Arabidopsis thaliana: one gene and its partners. The protein of the gene in region 1 interacts with the protein of each later gene in a pairwise test. Each region holds a gene or a part of one and is shown in the gene's direction. Other genes may lie near its edges.

Evidence for each region. The genes of interacting proteins can lie anywhere in the genome.
Region 2: the proteins of CPK32 (region 1) and ABF1 interact in a two-hybrid assay, tested with the Arabidopsis thaliana proteins (one study listed by BioGRID).
Region 3: the proteins of CPK32 (region 1) and ABF3 interact in a two-hybrid assay, tested with the Arabidopsis thaliana proteins (one study listed by BioGRID).

The regions. Positions count from the first base shown.
Region 1 is NC_003074.8:21,295,606-21,302,286, reverse strand, and holds CPK32 (calcium-dependent protein kinase 32), read left to right. Parts: upstream 1-2,582; 5' UTR 2,583-2,935; coding exon 2,936-3,463; intron 3,464-3,707; coding exon 3,708-3,831; intron 3,832-3,916; coding exon 3,917-4,060; intron 4,061-4,193; coding exon 4,194-4,346; intron 4,347-4,431; coding exon 4,432-4,547; intron 4,548-4,649; coding exon 4,650-4,817; coding exon of another isoform or gene 4,818-4,868; exon of another isoform or gene 4,869-4,911; coding exon 4,912-5,139; intron 5,140-5,233; coding exon 5,234-5,389; 3' UTR 5,390-5,830; downstream 5,831-6,681. Other genes in the region: AT3G57540 (Remorin family protein), read left to right, coding at 1-52, 464-664. UniProt on the Arabidopsis thaliana protein: May play a role in signal transduction pathways that involve calcium as a second messenger. Involved in maintaining Ca2+ homeostasis in pollen tube tips by regulating CNGC18. Functions as regulator of the calcium-mediated abscisic acid (ABA) signaling pathway.
Region 2 is NC_003070.9:18,397,939-18,403,658, forward strand, and holds ABF1 (abscisic acid responsive element-binding factor 1), read left to right. Parts: upstream 1-2,067; 5' UTR 2,068-2,222; intron 2,223-2,248; exon of another isoform or gene 2,249-2,845; 5' UTR 2,846-2,887; coding exon 2,888-3,886; intron 3,887-4,003; coding exon 4,004-4,075; intron 4,076-4,160; coding exon 4,161-4,215; intron 4,216-4,338; coding exon 4,339-4,424; 3' UTR 4,425-4,679; downstream 4,680-5,720. Other genes in the region: AT1G49730 (Protein kinase superfamily protein), read right to left, coding at 4,680-5,188, 5,267-5,351, 5,428-5,517, 5,622-5,689. UniProt on the Arabidopsis thaliana protein: Binds to the ABA-responsive element (ABRE). Could participate in abscisic acid-regulated gene expression.
Region 3 is NC_003075.7:16,293,076-16,299,315, forward strand, and holds ABF3 (abscisic acid responsive elements-binding factor 3), read left to right. Parts: upstream 1-2,258; 5' UTR 2,259-2,932; coding exon 2,933-3,820; intron 3,821-3,972; coding exon 3,973-4,266; intron 4,267-4,351; coding exon 4,352-4,423; coding exon of another isoform or gene 4,424-4,514; coding exon 4,515-4,544; intron 4,545-4,815; coding exon 4,816-4,896; 3' UTR 4,897-5,210; downstream 5,211-6,240. Other genes in the region: DJ1C (Class I glutamine amidotransferase-like superfamily protein), read right to left, coding at 5,478-5,693, 5,773-5,910, 6,134-6,240. UniProt on the Arabidopsis thaliana protein: Binds to the ABA-responsive element (ABRE). Mediates stress-responsive ABA signaling.

The DNA.
Region 1 (6,681 bases):
TTGGTTGAATGAGCAGGTTCATAGAGCTAACTCTTGGATGAAGAAAATCGAGGTGACTCATTTTTTTCTATTTTACGAATATCTTAGTTAGATCCGATCGATTAAGAGAACAAGATGACTTATAACATGCTTTTCTTGAAACTGTTTGCTTTTACATGTATAACAAAATAATTTAGAAAAACTATGTAACGTTTTCAAATTGCAAACGATAAACGTGGACAAGCGTTTTTTACAAATTATAAAATGCATATTTTATCCAACCAAAAAAAAAAAATCAAAATGTAAGAATTATGGGTTTATTTGAAAAAAAAGCAGAAACACAAATAAACGATAGATCCTTGAATGGTGGTGATATATCAAATATTTGAAATGTGATAAAGCTATCCAAAAGACTGACTAAATAGACGTCGATGTTGTCTTTGGAATAATAGATTATGCGATTGATACATATATGTGGATGCAGAGGAAACTGGAAGATAGGAGAGCGAAGGCGATGGAGAAAACACAAAACAAAGTGGCAAAAGCTCAGAGGAAGGCGGAGGAGAGGAGAGCCACGGCGGAAGGTAAACGAGGGACGGAGGTTGCGAGGGTTCTTGAAGTTGCTAATCTCATGAGAGCCGTTGGACGACCTCCGGCCAAACGATCATTCTTCTCTCTTTCCTAGCTAAGCTATTACTAGTTTTAGTTACATCCAAATGTCTCAATATATATAGGCTACCATTTTCTGTTGGGAATCAATGTGTATATAACTATATATAGAATGTAAGAGTTTTAAAGGTACTGATATATTTTGTAATTGTATGCTTTTTTCTTTGTCTGCACCACATAAAAACTAATAAAATGTTATTTGTAAGCCAAGAAAATTGTTTACATGTATTGTTTTGTCATTCCATCTGCTGAGACTGATACGACTAAAGAGTTAAAGAAAAGAAAAAAAAGGTTCAAGCTCTTACTTAGTTTCCAGCTCTGTTCATTTAATTACTCTCTCTACCTTGGCCTGTCACTCATGTGTTTAAGAGCTTTAACAAAAATGTAATTTAAGACGCCACAATTTACTAATTCAGGCTGCAAAGCTCGAAACCCTACGTATTTCAGGAATGGAATTTCGAACCCACTAAAATCTTGCTCAGACGAGTCTAAAACCTTTTTGCATACAACTTGTATGTATTTCTTACCACACTCTTACGGTGAACAAAACATAGACCTTATACACACAAGTGCAAGAAAGAGAGAAGTAAAGAGATTTTGAGATGGGCTGATTAAGAAAGGCTTATTTTCGGTTTTTGCTTCTGCCATAATGGGCCTACATACCCTTTTTTTTTTTTGGTAGAAATCTACATACCCTTTCTTTGTTAACTCTCCTATTTATTTGTCCATCAATATCATAGATATATTTTGTTTTGGTCGTTTTAACAAACAAGACTCAGTCTTTGGTAAATGATCAAATACTAAAGAAAATAGAGTGTACTGTATAAAACCCCTCATTTCTTGCCTAATTATATATTGCACTTAACTCTCTTTTTTAGTAACGGTAATCTAAGTAAACAAATTACAAATTGAATCATTGACTTGGTAGGAGTAAGACAAACACTCGTGTAAGGAAAGGAATGTCCATCAGGAGCTTTGATATTAATTTAGAGGCATTTGATAAAGTATCTTACCACATTCATACTCCGTTGACTTTGCTAATTATTTTATATATAAACTAACTCTAAAGTAAAATTTTAAGTATTTATGTTACTTTTAAATACAGGTTTCGACCCAATTGCACATATATCTGTAATCTGAACAATTATTAAATTAGTTGACAAAAAAATAAAAATAAATTTATTTCTATATCAGTTAAATTTTGATAAATCAAAATGCGTTTATCGATTTGTTGGTAGAAGTTTTATAGTGCAAAACCAAAATCATCAACTTGACAGAAAAAGCAAATAACTTTGAGTAATTACATATGTTGGTTGTTTTGTATCGAAGTCAAAAAAATTAGTTAGTTGGGTCCGACGAAAGTGATTAAAAAGAGTCAAAATCGCCGTGTTTGACCTTTTAATTATAAAAAAAAAACAGAACATAAAATAAAGGTGGCCGCTTATTTATGAACCCAAACACGAGCGTATTTACGGTTTCACCCTTAACTTTTTTTTATTTCCAAGGCGCTTAGTTTAAGAACGTGTCACAGACTCCGCTTTCTGTTTAATCCATGAGGTAAAATTCCTGAAACACCCCTGTCTTCGTAATTATTTGTATGATTCATTTCACAGATATATATTTATTTGGTGCTAGAATTTTGTTAGACATTCTATAAAAATAAAGAGTTTTCTAAAATTAAAATGAACAAAAATATTCTAAAAATAAAAAAAATTCTGCAGGAGTTTGAAAAAAAACAATTGGTGGACATTTAACTATTTAAGCCTTAATTTTTTTTGTCGGCATTTAAGCCTTAACTTAAGATCACATATATTCACCAAAAATAATTAAAATCACATATAGGGGTAATATTGTCAATAGTAATTTGGTAAAGCTGAAGGCATTTTGATTTCACATTAGAGTAATGTAATAGTAAGAAACATTCTTTGAAAATTAAAAATTTAAAGTGAAAAAAAGAAACAGACAAAAAAAGAAAAAAAAACAATCATAGAGCAGCTGGAGAAGAAGGGAGGGAAGAAGATTCTCTTGACCTTCCTTCCATCATCATCTCTCTCTCTCTCTCTGTAATTAATTTTTCGCAATTTTAATTTTCGAACAAATGATTTGACGTTCTTCTTGGTATTCACGCGTTGAAAATTTCCACCCTTTCATATATTGTTCTTCACCTCCTTCGTTTTTTTCTCATCCATCTCTTCCAGAATTCTCTTAAAGTTTCCTACTTTCCTGGAATTTCGTCCTCAATCTCTCAAGTTTCATCGGTTTTGATTTGGGTTTGATCGGAAAAGTCATGGGTAATTGTTGCGGAACAGCAGGATCATTGGCTCAAAACGATAACAAACCCAAAAAAGGAAGGAAGAAGCAAAACCCTTTCTCGATTGATTACGGTCTTCACCACGGTGGTGGAGATGGAGGTGGAAGACCTCTTAAGCTTATCGTTTTGAATGATCCAACAGGTCGTGAGATCGAGTCTAAATACACGTTGGGGAGAGAGCTAGGTCGTGGAGAATTCGGTGTTACGTATCTATGTACTGATAAGGAGACAGACGACGTTTTTGCTTGTAAATCGATTTTGAAGAAGAAGCTGAGGACAGCTGTTGATATTGAAGATGTTAGGAGAGAGGTTGAGATTATGAGGCATATGCCTGAGCATCCTAATGTTGTTACTTTGAAGGAGACTTATGAGGATGAGCATGCTGTTCATTTGGTTATGGAGCTTTGTGAAGGTGGTGAATTGTTTGATAGGATTGTTGCTAGAGGGCATTATACTGAGAGAGCTGCTGCTGCTGTCACTAAGACCATCATGGAAGTTGTTCAGGTTCGTCAAGGTTTTTTTGCTGTTTATTGTATCTCTTTAGTCTTTACTTGTTGCAGAATTGCAATGGCCTCGTATAATGTCTTGGTTTGTTACTGGTTTCAGTTTCTTGGACATTATTGACTTGTAGCATTGCTTTAAAGGGCTCAATTTGCTGCAGAAAGATTCAAAATTCGTTTCTTTTCATGTAAATTGAAAGTCTTGTGGAGTGATTTTAGATGTGAGATTAATGAGTGTGTTCTTGCAGGTGTGTCATAAGCATGGGGTAATGCACAGGGACCTGAAACCTGAGAACTTCTTGTTTGGAAACAAGAAGGAGACTGCACCTCTTAAGGCGATTGATTTTGGTCTCTCTGTTTTCTTTAAACCAGGTAATGTGGTCTTTCTGCTCAGTAGATAGCTGATTGCTTTGTGGTTTGTCAATAATCTTAACCCACACCGTTATTTTCTTTGCAGGCGAGAGGTTTAACGAAATCGTTGGTAGTCCGTACTACATGGCTCCCGAGGTGCTAAAACGGAATTATGGTCCAGAAGTTGATATTTGGAGTGCAGGTGTAATTCTTTACATACTGCTATGTGGTGTCCCGCCTTTCTGGGCAGGTTAGTTTTGTCAGTCTATGTTTCCTTCTTCTTGGGCCGTCTGTAGCACATGTTGTCTTCAGGGGTAGTATATGAAGAAGTGATCATAAGAATAATGAACCTGGTCTTCTGTTTTTTTCTATACCATTTTCAGAAACTGAACAAGGAGTTGCACAAGCAATTATTCGATCTGTACTAGACTTCAGAAGGGACCCATGGCCCAAGGTTTCTGAAAACGCAAAAGACCTTATCAGGAAAATGCTTGATCCTGACCAAAAGCGTCGTCTTACAGCTCAACAAGTCCTAGGTACAGATTTATATGATGCAATTTGCTTATATGGAATCTGAGACAGACAAAGAGTATTAATCGGTCTTTGCTTCATTTTCCTCAGATCACCCGTGGTTACAGAATGCAAAGACAGCCCCCAATGTATCATTGGGTGAAACAGTGAGGGCAAGGTTGAAGCAGTTCACCGTCATGAACAAGCTCAAGAAACGAGCACTCAGGGTAAAATACATATTACTTATAAACTATCCGAAAATGTATATCTCTTCTGATCTAAAAAGCCTAACAATAGTTTCGTTTGGTCTTGTTACGTTATCTCGATAGGTTATTGCTGAGCATTTATCAGATGAAGAAGCTTCAGGTATAAGAGAAGGGTTCCAAATAATGGACACAAGCCAAAGAGGGAAGATTAACATCGACGAGCTTAAAATCGGGTTGCAGAAACTTGGTCATGCCATTCCGCAAGATGATTTACAAATTTTGATGGATGCTGTGAGCTTTGATTTACCATTACTTTTCAATACCAGTTTTTGTGTGATTTGAATGCAGTTAACTGAGCTCTGGATGGTTTTCTTCTACTTTGCAGGGAGACATCGATAGAGATGGATATTTGGACTGTGACGAGTTTATTGCCATATCGGTACACCTAAGGAAAATGGGCAATGACGAGCATCTCAAGAAAGCGTTTGCGTTCTTTGATCAAAACAATAACGGATATATCGAAATAGAGGAGTTAAGGGAAGCCTTGTCTGACGAACTTGGTACAAGTGAAGAAGTTGTTGATGCCATTATCCGTGATGTTGACACCGACAAGGTTGGTTAACTTCACCATTTCACTCTCGTTTTCTTGTTGAAAAAAATCCCATCTCATAGAGAACTAACCATCATGAAAATTGTTTTTTTTGTAGGATGGAAGAATAAGTTACGAAGAGTTTGTAACGATGATGAAAACAGGAACAGATTGGAGAAAAGCTTCGAGACAGTACTCGAGAGAACGGTTTAACAGTATCAGTCTCAAACTGATGCAAGATGCGTCGTTGCAGGTCAATGGTGATACAAGATGAGAGAGGCTTAATCTGTGTCACTCACCAGTCTGGAAGATTGAATCAAAGGGATGCAAATCTTTCTTAATTTCTTAATTTTTATCTTCTTGGGTTGCTTTTTTTTTATGACACCACGATTAAAGCTTTTTAGGCATATAAAGTTGTAAGAGTTGTGTGTTTGATATCCTGGCTAATGAGCGAGCTGAGTATGGGGATCAAGAGAGAAAAACCGTGTTGGCCTTTGGCTGTGTGTAGATATTTTGTATAATCTTGTGTTGATAAAAGATAATATCATCAATTTTTCTTGTGATCAATCTGTAATTTTCTATAACCATTCAAGAATTATATGAGTTATGGATTTTGACAATGAGAGCTTGCTTTACAGATAAACTTACACGAGCTTATATCGAATATAGGCATTTTAAATTTAATAATTTCAAAAGAGGTATGTTGCACAGTTGAATGGGCCGCTTATTGTCTGATTTCGGACGATTTTAACCTTCTGGAGTAAGTGAGAAATTGATATTCCATTTTTGCAAGTGGTAGGATGATGTGAAAATAGGTGAAGAAGTGAAAACGATATACCCTAGAATTGGACTTGTAAACCCAAACCGTTTAGTTGACAGTCTGCGATGCATACACAGATACAACGACACAACACTACAACATTAATTAGACTTTCTCGGCTTGAGAAGATGAGGCCAATGAAATGATATTAGAGATGACTTTTCACAAGAAATAAGTACATGTTTTCGTGAAGACATATGAGAAATGTCTTAATAAATAAATTCTTAAGACAAATGCCTATTTTGTAATTAACTCAATTTACACAAAGCCAGATGTACAAATAAAATCAGAAACTAAAGTCCCATTTCGTTTTGTCCTGGTGGTCGACTTTGTCTTTGTGGTCACAGTTTTGTTTTCAAAACTGTACAATGTTTTAAATAAGTATATAACGGAAACTATATTGGCCATAAACTTTTATCAATCCCATATAGCTATAGTAGTCGAGAAGAAGGAAAATTCAGACAAAAATATAATAAACGTCGTTATTGGCTTATCGCAGCATCAAATCTAAACAAGTGGACTAAATATTTGTGTCCTCTATATTATTGTCATCAAGCATAAGACACCAGTCATTTGAATATTTGATCAACAGCCTTATAAAAAATAAAAATTTACAATCATATCTACTCGATGAGTTTGCAACTGTTCATGATATTGATATCCTACAAATCTGATACCCACACAATGTAGATAAAAATAGCATCACTGAACATCTGTTAAGTATTATAATCACAAACATACAAGTG
Region 2 (5,720 bases), on another chromosome or scaffold:
TTATTACAATACTTAGTTTGTATCTTGCCATTGTTGATGAATTGACTCTATGATTTTGATGGAGAAAAATATTAGGATTTTAGTTTATGGATAAACTTTTTTTGAAAAAAAACACAACCCGAATCTCAAAAATAGTTTTGTCAAAAATCTTGAGAAAAACGATGAGATTCGGGTTCAGATTTTTTCAAAAATAGTTTTATTCGTGAAAGATTTAAATTCGAGCGGAGATTGTTCCGCCCACTTTAAAAAATATTTTATTTTCTCTAAATAATTTTAAAATAAAATAATTATAATAAAAATGAAAATTTGAAATTTTTAGACACCATAAACTAATATGTTAATAAAATTATTTTATCCAAAATTAGAAAATTAATGTCATATAATCTAAAAAATTAATAGTTAATTGAGATGATAAGGGTAAAATTAAAATTTTATTTTTGTTGTCAGATCGTGAGTATGAAAATAACAATATTTAATTGTTTGAATATTTAAATTGCACAGTTTTATTATTTCATGTATTTTTCATGTATTTTTCTTCTTAGAAAAAACAATTGGGTATTAAACGTTTAAATAAAAATTAGTTAAGGTTTTTTTTTGGATTTTTACCCATTAGAAAACTCTTCCTTTTCATTTATTTTTACTTCTAGTAGTAGAGGTAATTTTTCTTTTTTGATTAACAAAGTCGTGAGGTTTGTTAGTAGAGACTAGAAAGTTGTTGAATGGGTAATTGATATGTTTTGCTCCACAAGAAAGCGGAAGTTTTTAAAAAAAAAGAAACAAAATTAGCATTACAATACCAATGATTACATATGTAAACAATATTTCCCGGAATTAGCTCGTATGAATCTAAATTAATATTGACAAAAAAAAAAATACCAATGATCACATATATGACAAAAAGAAAGAATGAAGGAGAACTCTATCATGGTTTGATGCTCATTCTATACGCTGGCCCAACGGTGACACGAAAGTAGACAATTCTTTTAAATAAGTTATCAAATTATAAAGAAGTAGAAATCATCAACATACCATTTACCAAGTGAGGAGAGGGCAAAATTTCCAAATTTGGAAGTGAATTGTATTAAACTCGACGCAAATCTTCTTAAAAGTCTTCTTCTTTTGGGTTGCTTGGATATAATGATTATTGCTTGATGTCAAAATTCGCACACCATTGGGATGATGGGACCCAAAAAGAATCACTACCCACTTCTGCCGTTGTTTCAACATCATTCATGTATAATAATCACAGTTTATCAAGCACACAAAATATCTTACATGAGTAACAACAATATGATATTAAAATTAATTTGGCACATAATTTAATCATTTGGTGTTCCGACCGACATGATACTATACTATAATTTTATTCCCATTTCATTTCTTATTTTTTTATATGCATAGAAAATTATTTAAATGCAAAATAAAATTTTAACCAAAAACCTCTAGTCTAGTAGTTTGTTCGATTGTATATAGAGTATTTTGTCATGTGCATAGATTACCACCATCTACGAACATTGTTGTGGTTTGATTTTCTCTTTGATCGCGGTAAACACCAACAATATATGACTAGACATTCATAAACTTCAGATGAGTTAGGATTTGATTTTTTAGAATTTTGGTTTTGAAAAAAAATTAGCCAACTAAAAATCAAACAAAAATTTACTGCGGTTCATAAGTAAAAAAAAAATCAATTTCCTTTTTAGTAATTTTCTTGGAGTCGAATTGAAGTAAAATTGTGCAGTTTACAACACAGAATTCGATATTTAAAAAATTTCTGTTGGCGAATTAAAATTGAAATACTATAATTATCCAAACTTTCTTCGGTTAGTTAATTAAGATCAGAAATAATGTCTAAATGGCAAGGTTAATATGGATATTTGTATCAGATCTAATCCCATTTTTAAAGAAAACAAACAAGGCAAAGGACACAATCAGCGACTAAAGCTCTCACACGTTACAGCTTCTTATTGGTTAAAAATGAACGTGGTTGTCAGCTAAATTAAGTGACTATGTTTAATAATCATTAAAACGGGATATTTATTAGTTTATTACCAAAAAATGAAAGCAAAATATCTAAACAATAAATAAAATAAAAAACCATAAGAGGAAAAAGCTTAACCCCTTAAAATGGCAGTTCGTGTCGAAGCTACTACAAACACACTTGTCGTCTCTTCTCTCTCTCGCAGCTCTTCTCTATTTTCAGCAATCGCCTATAATATTAGGTAAAGCTTCCTTCTTTTTGTTTATCCGTTTTCGTTTTCTTTTCTTCTCGAATCTGTCTTTGTCTTATCACATCCCCTGAAGTGTTATACTTTTTTTTTTTTTGGGTCCGATTCATAATATCTGTTTTGTCTTTTTTTTGGTTCTATGTTCTAAATCAAGTAGTAGTAGTAATGAAGTAACTATTCCTAAAGAAATTAAAGGATAAGACTTTTTTGTTTTTCTTCTTGAGGGTTTGTGTGATCTTGCTTTTACTCCAGAATCTTTTATAGATCTATCTTTTAGATACATTCAAGAATGGTCAAAGTTATGGATTTTGATCCAATCTTATATTTCTCTCTGAATCCAAGGATCCAATTTATACTCTCTGTATCACACACTTCTATGTATATGTTTGTGATTGATTGCTTCTGGCTAAAACTTTATAAAGTTTTGACATTTATATGAACGTTCCTGCCTTTTGCTTTTGGTCTTCTTTGCTTGCTCTTATGCAAGTATACTTAAAAGCACTATGTGACACATAGTTGTGTGGTGTGTTATACTCCTAAACCAGTTTCAATTTTCTGGTCTTGTTCTCTCTTAGGTAAAGCTAAAAGGGTCTGATTCGTTTGTTTTTTCACTGAAGAATTTGGAAGGAAGTGATTCCGTTGTGAAACAGAAAAGAAGTATGGGTACTCACATTGATATCAACAACTTAGGCGGCGATACTTCTAGAGGGAATGAGTCAAAGCCATTGGCGAGGCAGTCTTCGTTATATTCCTTAACGTTTGATGAGCTTCAGAGCACATTAGGTGAGCCGGGGAAAGATTTTGGGTCTATGAATATGGATGAGTTACTCAAGAACATATGGACTGCTGAGGATACTCAAGCCTTTATGACTACTACATCTTCGGTTGCAGCCCCGGGACCTAGTGGTTTTGTTCCGGGAGGAAATGGTTTACAGAGGCAAGGCTCCTTGACCTTGCCTAGAACGCTTAGTCAGAAGACTGTCGATGAAGTCTGGAAATACCTGAATTCGAAAGAAGGTAGTAATGGGAATACTGGAACGGATGCGCTTGAGAGGCAACAGACTTTAGGGGAAATGACTCTGGAAGATTTCTTACTCCGTGCTGGCGTTGTTAAAGAAGATAATACTCAGCAGAACGAAAACAGTAGTAGCGGGTTTTATGCTAACAACGGTGCTGCTGGTTTGGAGTTTGGATTTGGTCAGCCGAATCAAAACAGCATATCGTTCAACGGGAACAATAGTTCTATGATCATGAATCAAGCACCTGGTTTAGGCCTCAAAGTTGGTGGAACCATGCAGCAGCAGCAGCAGCCACATCAGCAGCAGTTGCAGCAGCCACATCAGAGACTGCCTCCAACTATCTTTCCAAAACAAGCGAATGTAACATTTGCGGCGCCTGTAAATATGGTCAACAGGGGTTTATTTGAGACTAGCGCAGATGGTCCAGCCAACAGTAATATGGGAGGAGCAGGGGGTACTGTTACAGCTACTTCTCCTGGGACGAGCAGTGCAGAAAACAATACTTGGTCATCACCAGTTCCTTACGTGTTTGGTCGGGGAAGAAGAAGCAATACGGGCCTGGAGAAGGTTGTTGAGAGAAGGCAAAAGAGAATGATCAAGAATCGGGAATCCGCTGCTAGATCAAGGGCTCGAAAACAGGTAAAGTTACCGTTTTGTTCTCAAAAACTTTGATATCAATATCATCTAACCAAACTGCCATTACCGTTTTCTTTTCAAGAACTTTGAAATCATTTTGATGTTTTGGCTAAACCTCAGGCTTATACCTTGGAACTGGAAGCTGAGATTGAAAGTCTCAAGCTAGTGAATCAAGATTTGCAGAAGAAACAGGTTTTTTTCTTCTACCATTTTTATTGCTTCTCCATAGAGAGTCTAGCTGGCTCAGTTATTTAACTGCGGTCTCTCTATGTTGCAGGCTGAAATAATGAAAACCCATAATAGTGAGGTAATAACGTTTTTCCTCTACTTATGTATATTTCATGTATACACCATCATTGTCTCTACATTACCAGACATTTTGTGTCTGTCTAAATGTAGCTCTATTGTCATTTTGATGACACACAGTTCACTGATACTAGTACTTGAATTTGCAGCTAAAGGAATTTTCGAAGCAGCCTCCATTGCTGGCCAAAAGACAATGCTTGAGAAGAACCCTTACCGGTCCGTGGTAAGAAGGTGAAGTCAAAGCAAGAAGAACCTGCTAATGTAATACAGGACCACTCAAAAGGAAGACACTGGGAGAGTAATATGTAATAGAAGATAGTGCTACTGTACAGGAGAAATTACAGAGACGCTTACAATGTAGAAATCTTTTGAGCTGAATTTAACTAAGAGTGCAGTCTGTGTAGAGTATGAGAGCTTTCAATATGAATTCATAATTTTCATAAACATATGTAAAACTTTCAGATTTAGCTATAGAGAAGATGTGACTAACTCAGAAAGAAAATCCGTTAATTGGAGAGTGAGGTAAACTCCGGCTGTAATGTGACCTGGAAGTAGTACTAGACGATGGACCAAAGATCCGGGAATCACCTCTTTGAATTCTCAAATTGCTTCTCTTCCTACTATCCCAGCCTATCTCTTCTTCAACCGCTTTAGCAAATGCGCTATGCACCGGATCACAGCTTTCACACAACAGCCTCAAGACTTGCTTAATTGATGGCCTAGACCGGCCTTCTTTCTCGGTACACAATCTCACAACCGTCACAACTGCATCAAGTTGTTTTCCTCCAGCATCATTAATAGAGTCTTTGATTCTCGGGTCTACCAACTCGAGGTGTTTTGATTTCGCCAACAAAAACCGCTGAGACATTTCCACAAGGTTCCTACCTTCATCAACTGCTCTTCTCCCGGTTATGAGCTCCAGCAACACAACTCCGTAGCTGTACACATCACTCTTCTCTGTCAACTCTTGCGTTACTACATATTCCGGATCTACATAACCTGAAAAAACTTCAAGTTTTTAAAACTCAGCTTCCATCAAAAGTAGTCAAGTTATTCTGTTCAGTATCTCTCCCAAACCTGGAGTTCCACGGATATCGGTATTCACAGGCTCAAAGCAAACAGAGCCATCTCTAGACGAATGTGCAAGGCCAAAATCTGAAAGCTGCACCAAGAAAACATTATTAGTTATCCAAATACCAAAGGGTTCTCTAACACAGAAGATGTGCAGTACTACATACCTTAGCGACGAAGTTCTCATCGAGTAATATATTGCTTGATTTAATATCTCTATGACAGAGAGGAGGATCACAGTAGAAATGAAGATATTCCTGGAGGAGAGAACAACGTGCAGCCAAGAACCAAAAACTGTAAAAGATATATTATCAAATCAGTTTACAGAGAAAATGTAGATGAAAGACTTTGGAATATTTACCAAAGCATTTGCCACATCAATTGCAATTTTCATTCTTGTTCCCCAACTAGGTGGAGGCTTTCCAATGGCTGCAAAGGAAAAAATTGAAACAAGAAAAGT
Region 3 (6,240 bases), on another chromosome or scaffold:
CAAAAGTATGTTTGTTTGTACACTTGAAGCGTATTTTTAGCATACGTTTGCTCAAGCAGGGCCAATAATTGACAATAAAACCTTCGATCCACGTGATTTGGATTGCGTGTTAAGAGGTGCAAAACAAATCTTCGTGCTCACATTATTCGGGCTATTCACTTCACATGCATTTGACTATGACAAATGACAATAGTTCTTTTTAAAAAACAAATCAAAGGAATAATACGTTTATTAGACTTCACAATCTTGCTATAATGGTCCCTCTTCAAAGCTTAGAGAATTTGTAAGATAACAAATTAAGATTGATTGTATTTGGGTAATAATGACTACCTCTTTTTGGCTTTTTCATTTATATAAATACTTGGAGTTCACCTCCTTACAACAACTTGAAACAAATCATGGAGCTTAACTCCTACAAACATGGAATCATGGAAAAGTGACTTTAGTGGAATACTCCACATTATTAGCAATGAAACAGAAATGCGAGAGACTTAGTCAAGTCATGACCAAGTCCTTAATCGTATCTTGGATTGGGCTTGCGCAGACGTTTGGGCCGAACGTTGATGTTGGGCTGAATGTCCTCATCATGCTATGCCTCATAACTCATTCCTCAAAGCTTTCTTCTAATCATAATTTATTTGTTTTTTGTTTTTTTAATTTGCATCGTGAGGTCTTCTTTTTGATCCAATCAATGGACCTCTTTCTAAGAGTTCAACTACTCTTAACAACTTTAGGTCTTCTAGACACATAGAAAGTAATAAATATATATGGGCATGACACTAAGGTTTCATTCTTTTTCTTTATTGTGGTTTAGGTTTTTGATCTAATTTTGTTATTGTAAGAATTATTTTGTAATTTTGTTATTATCTTACCATGGAATTAAGAAAAAGTAAATTTCTTCAAACTTACCCTGTTGTTGCAACTTACATATTAAACTCTCTCTTTTTTGTTAAAAAAAGGTTATATATCTTTTAACCTTCTAGGATTTTAGCCTAGCTGAAAAAAAGTTACACATTAAACTTGTTTTTGTTAACAACGTTTTAGCATTTCGGTTGTGTGTTGTTTCTTCCGGTTGTTATAGTTTCGTACTTTCGTTGGTTTTGAGTTTTGGATTCTTGAAAGGTGGTTATAATTTATACATTTTGTTTCTACACGACCTTAAAGAAGTAACTTCAATTAATTAAATCTAATTCGGGAAAGAGCACGTCTCAAAAGAGTCGTCGAGTCCCATGTGAATTCTATATGATAACATTAAACAAAATCACGGTTCCATATTTGTTTAATACTAGTATGTATTGCAGAGTAGACTTTCCTAATCCAGTAGATTCTTAAAGAAAAAATAATATAAAAAGATTGAAAATAGAAATAAAAGATGGGAGACACGAAGGGTCACTTGTATTGTACCGAGTCCAAATGTAAAGAAGTCTCAATAATGGTGTAATAAAATAAAGAAGTTGAAGACAAGATCACAATCACCATGTGAAGATCAACACACAAGATCATAATTTTATTGTATGTTTGCTTCATTTCAACTTTTTTAAATATTGTTAAGAGGGCAGGCATTGAGTGCGCCACGTGGCAAATGACCATCCCTTTGTAGGTGCAGCAAACGTGATAAAGATTCCGGACTGTTCACCCATTCCCTTCTTCCATTTGTTTCTTATTTTTTCTTACAAATCTTATCGTATCATAATTTTTTTTCCATAATGCGCTCCCTTGAATGGAATAACGTTGGTTATTTTGTTTCCAACCAAATTTTCATACCATTCGATCAAATAGGTGCATCAACTTACAAGAAATGAAAGTGTGATCCCTATTTTATTAGGTAGCTAAGTAAGTGTTAGTGAACACTACGTTAGATTGTTACTCAAATAACGGATCAACGAATCTCGTATTCATTACTATACTGCTAATGAATGCATCAATTTTAATTTTTATTGGTTATCTATCCTTAAAAAAAAGTTATAAGAATATTTTGATAATTTGTTCCAAGATGTAGTACTAGTAGTAGTACTTGGTCTCGTAAACGACGACGCCGTTTAGGAAATCAAACGGCCAAAAATGCTTCCACTTTGCGAAATTTTATTGGTGGGAAACGCAAATGTATCGATAATGATTTAAAGAAAAAGCGGCGTTTCTAATTGGACCACGTTGCCCAATCTCTACGGCTCACGCACGATCTGACGTCAAATTGGCATAATACTATAATAACCTTATCGAGAATAAAATAATAGTCGCATCCAAACAAAAGAAACCAACCCTTTTATATCACGACGAGTGTCACGCCATGGACACTTGTCCATCTCTCTCGCTCTGACCCCTTTCAGGTATCTTTTATTTCTCAAAGAGGAATTATTGATTTTCCATTTCCAAAGAAAAAAAATAAATTCGAAGGTCAGGAAAATTAACAAAAAACTTCCTTTTTTTTTTTGTTAGTTTGTGTGACTGAGCTGCTTCATTTTTTTTCTTTCTTTTTTTTTTTGGTTTGATGAATCGATTTTTGTTGTCTATTACTGATTGGTTTTCTTGTTCAGATTCACTGATTCGAAGAGAATCATGATTTTTTTTTCCCGCTGAATAATAAGCATATGATTGGGTGTTTTGGAGATTTGTTTACTGATTAAAAGGAGATTCCTTTCCATTTTCACCATTTGCTCTGTTTGACTTCATTGTGCTTATATTTCATTTAGATCTTTTGTTTGGGTTTAGCTTTGGAACTGATAAAAATCTGATTTTGTCTCACGGCTTTGGATTTGGTTCTTAAATTTTGGTACTTTAAAACTGGATAAAGATCAGTGCTTTTTTAGATTCTTCGTTTGTTGATGAATTTATGGATGTATGTATAATTAAACCATAATCTCTCTGCTTGTTTGTTTTCTTATAGGTAAATATCCAGAAGCTTGATCCTCCTAGTTGTACGAAAGCTTGAGTAATGGGGTCTAGATTAAACTTCAAGAGCTTTGTTGATGGTGTGAGTGAGCAGCAGCCAACGGTGGGGACTAGTCTTCCATTGACTAGGCAGAACTCTGTGTTCTCGTTAACCTTTGATGAGTTTCAGAACTCATGGGGTGGTGGAATTGGGAAAGATTTTGGGTCTATGAACATGGATGAGCTCTTGAAGAACATTTGGACTGCAGAGGAAAGTCATTCAATGATGGGAAACAATACCAGTTACACCAACATCAGCAATGGTAATAGTGGAAACACTGTTATTAACGGCGGTGGTAACAACATTGGTGGGTTAGCTGTTGGTGTGGGAGGAGAAAGTGGTGGTTTTTTCACTGGTGGGAGTTTGCAGAGACAAGGTTCACTTACCTTGCCTCGGACGATTAGTCAGAAAAGGGTTGATGATGTCTGGAAGGAGCTGATGAAGGAGGATGACATTGGAAATGGTGTTGTTAATGGTGGGACAAGCGGAATTCCGCAGAGGCAACAAACGCTGGGAGAGATGACTTTGGAGGAGTTTTTGGTCAGGGCTGGTGTGGTTAGGGAAGAACCTCAACCGGTGGAGAGTGTAACTAACTTCAATGGCGGATTCTATGGATTTGGCAGTAATGGAGGTCTTGGGACAGCTAGTAATGGGTTTGTTGCAAACCAACCTCAAGATTTGTCAGGAAATGGAGTAGCGGTGAGACAGGATCTGCTGACTGCTCAAACTCAGCCACTACAGATGCAGCAGCCACAGATGGTGCAGCAGCCACAGATGGTGCAGCAGCCGCAACAACTGATACAGACGCAGGAGAGGCCTTTTCCCAAACAGACCACTATAGCATTTTCCAACACTGTTGATGTGGTTAACCGTTCTCAACCTGCAACACAGGTGACTAAAGAACCTAAGCTACTACATTTTGTAGGAAATACAATCATCTGAAAAATATTAGACGTAGCCTTCATGTTTTAAGATAAGCTGGTTTTGGATATGCATGTATGTTTCAGTTATCTGAGCATGACTTGTTTTTACTTTTTTCGCAGTGCCAGGAAGTGAAGCCTTCAATACTTGGAATTCATAACCATCCTATGAACAACAATCTACTGCAAGCTGTCGATTTTAAAACAGGAGTAACGGTTGCAGCAGTATCTCCTGGAAGCCAGATGTCACCTGATCTGACTCCAAAGAGCGCCCTGGATGCATCTTTGTCCCCTGTTCCTTACATGTTTGGGCGAGTGAGAAAAACAGGTGCAGTTCTGGAGAAAGTGATTGAGAGAAGGCAAAAAAGGATGATAAAGAATAGGGAATCAGCTGCAAGATCCCGCGCTCGCAAGCAAGTGAGTGTTTGTTTAAATTTTGGAGATTAAAGAAACCTTAAAACTGTGACCATGTTATTTACTTTTTCACTTTCTTGCTTGACAGGCTTATACGATGGAACTGGAAGCAGAAATTGCGCAACTCAAAGAATTGAATGAAGAGTTGCAGAAGAAACAAGTGTGTCTCGCTTCTTCCCTATCACAATTAAGAATCTCGAGATTTTCATATTTTCTTGAGGTTGTATTCACTGACCAAATGTTTCATGCAGGTTGAAATCATGGAAAAGCAGAAAAATCAGGTACTGTCTTGATTTGAATATCCTCTATGGTTGTTGGCTAGGCTTTTAACTCTCACTCATAATGAATTACACTTTTGGACAGTATTCTAAGCTTTTGAGTAGAATAGTGTAAGCTATACCATGAAGTGAGACATATCATCACATTTTTGATTTCCCACTCTGCATAAAGTATTTAAGATTTGTGAATATGTTGCAATGCCAATTTGGATATTTCATGAGACTAATCTGACGAGCATGGATTTAACGGAAGTTGGCTCATTTGTTGTTGCAGCTTCTGGAGCCTCTGCGCCAGCCATGGGGAATGGGATGCAAAAGGCAATGCTTGCGAAGGACATTGACGGGTCCCTGGTAGAGCTTATAATGGCGTCTAAGGAACCCAACAAAGCGCCGAAGTTATAGAACAACTCAGAAGATAGAAAGCTAGCTTTGTACGTAGTTTAGGCAGGTTCTGTGGGTGATTGTAAATCTTGAAGTGTGGCGGATTTGACAGAGATAGATAAACACATATCTGTTCTATTTTCCTAAATCTTTTGGTTTTATCTTCCTGATGTAATGGATCTTTATCATTTGTCTTGAACATCTTTGTGACTTAACCAGAGTGAATTTATCTTGTATCTTGTCTGCAATTTTTTCTTTAGCTCATTTGGGCCCAAGTCAACACCTTTATTATAGAAGAGAGTAAACATCAAGTTTAGCATCAACATCTGGTAATCCAACTGGGCGTACAAAATTAGATACACATACTAAATTGGCAAAATTCTTGCAGATAGCATCCCGCTTCAGGATAAGGTGCATCAACGTTGAACAGATGATACTTGTGAAAAGTCTCTGGAGTTGAGGTGGTTTGATACCATCGGACCGTTATACTTCGGTTTAAGATCAGTAATGAGACATCTTCTAACTGTGTTTCTTGAACAAGATGCTTTCAAACGGTTACTGCCTTGGATACTCATGCACAAGCCCTTCTGAAACACTCCTTGCTCTAGCATGTCCGAACAGCTTGCTAACAATAGCCAGGGAAAATTTGGTAACAGTTGCGAGCCCCAAACTTGTAATCACGTTTCCATCTATAACAACTTCGGCTCCTTCGATCATTTGTTGATTCATAGGCTCGTCTGACTCTGAAGGATACACAGTCGTTCTCTTCTCCTAAAATAGGATTCCAATTGTTTATGGCGTTTGTCCATGTATATGACAAAGAAAAGAACAATAGTTGTCTTCACCTTACCTTGAGTAAACCATGTTTATGCAAAACGGTAGATGAAGAGTTGGTAGCTCCATATATTCGCCCAGATTCATGTTGTTCCCTGAGCAGTTTCTTGAGAATTTTGGACTTCTGCAGACGTTCTGAGCCAGTATGGCCTCCCTTGGGAATTTCCATCAAAGAAAAGAAATCATATTACTCACCATGGAACAACCAACAGTTGTAGTTTGTCTAAAAGCTTTTCCTAAGCGCATTGATTTGACATGGCATATAAGTTATACTGAAACATGTACATAGCAAGATTTATTTAAGAAGAAGTAAACTAGCGAAATGGTATGAGTTTATTATGAGACTAGGACATGCAGGGTTTTGCTTAAAGCCTTACCGGAAGAATGATTAGATCATATGATGACTCAGCAGCTTCACCAATCAATTTGTCAGTGATAATTTTGGTGCCTTGGAATGCCGTAATCCGCAAAGATCGTTCAACTG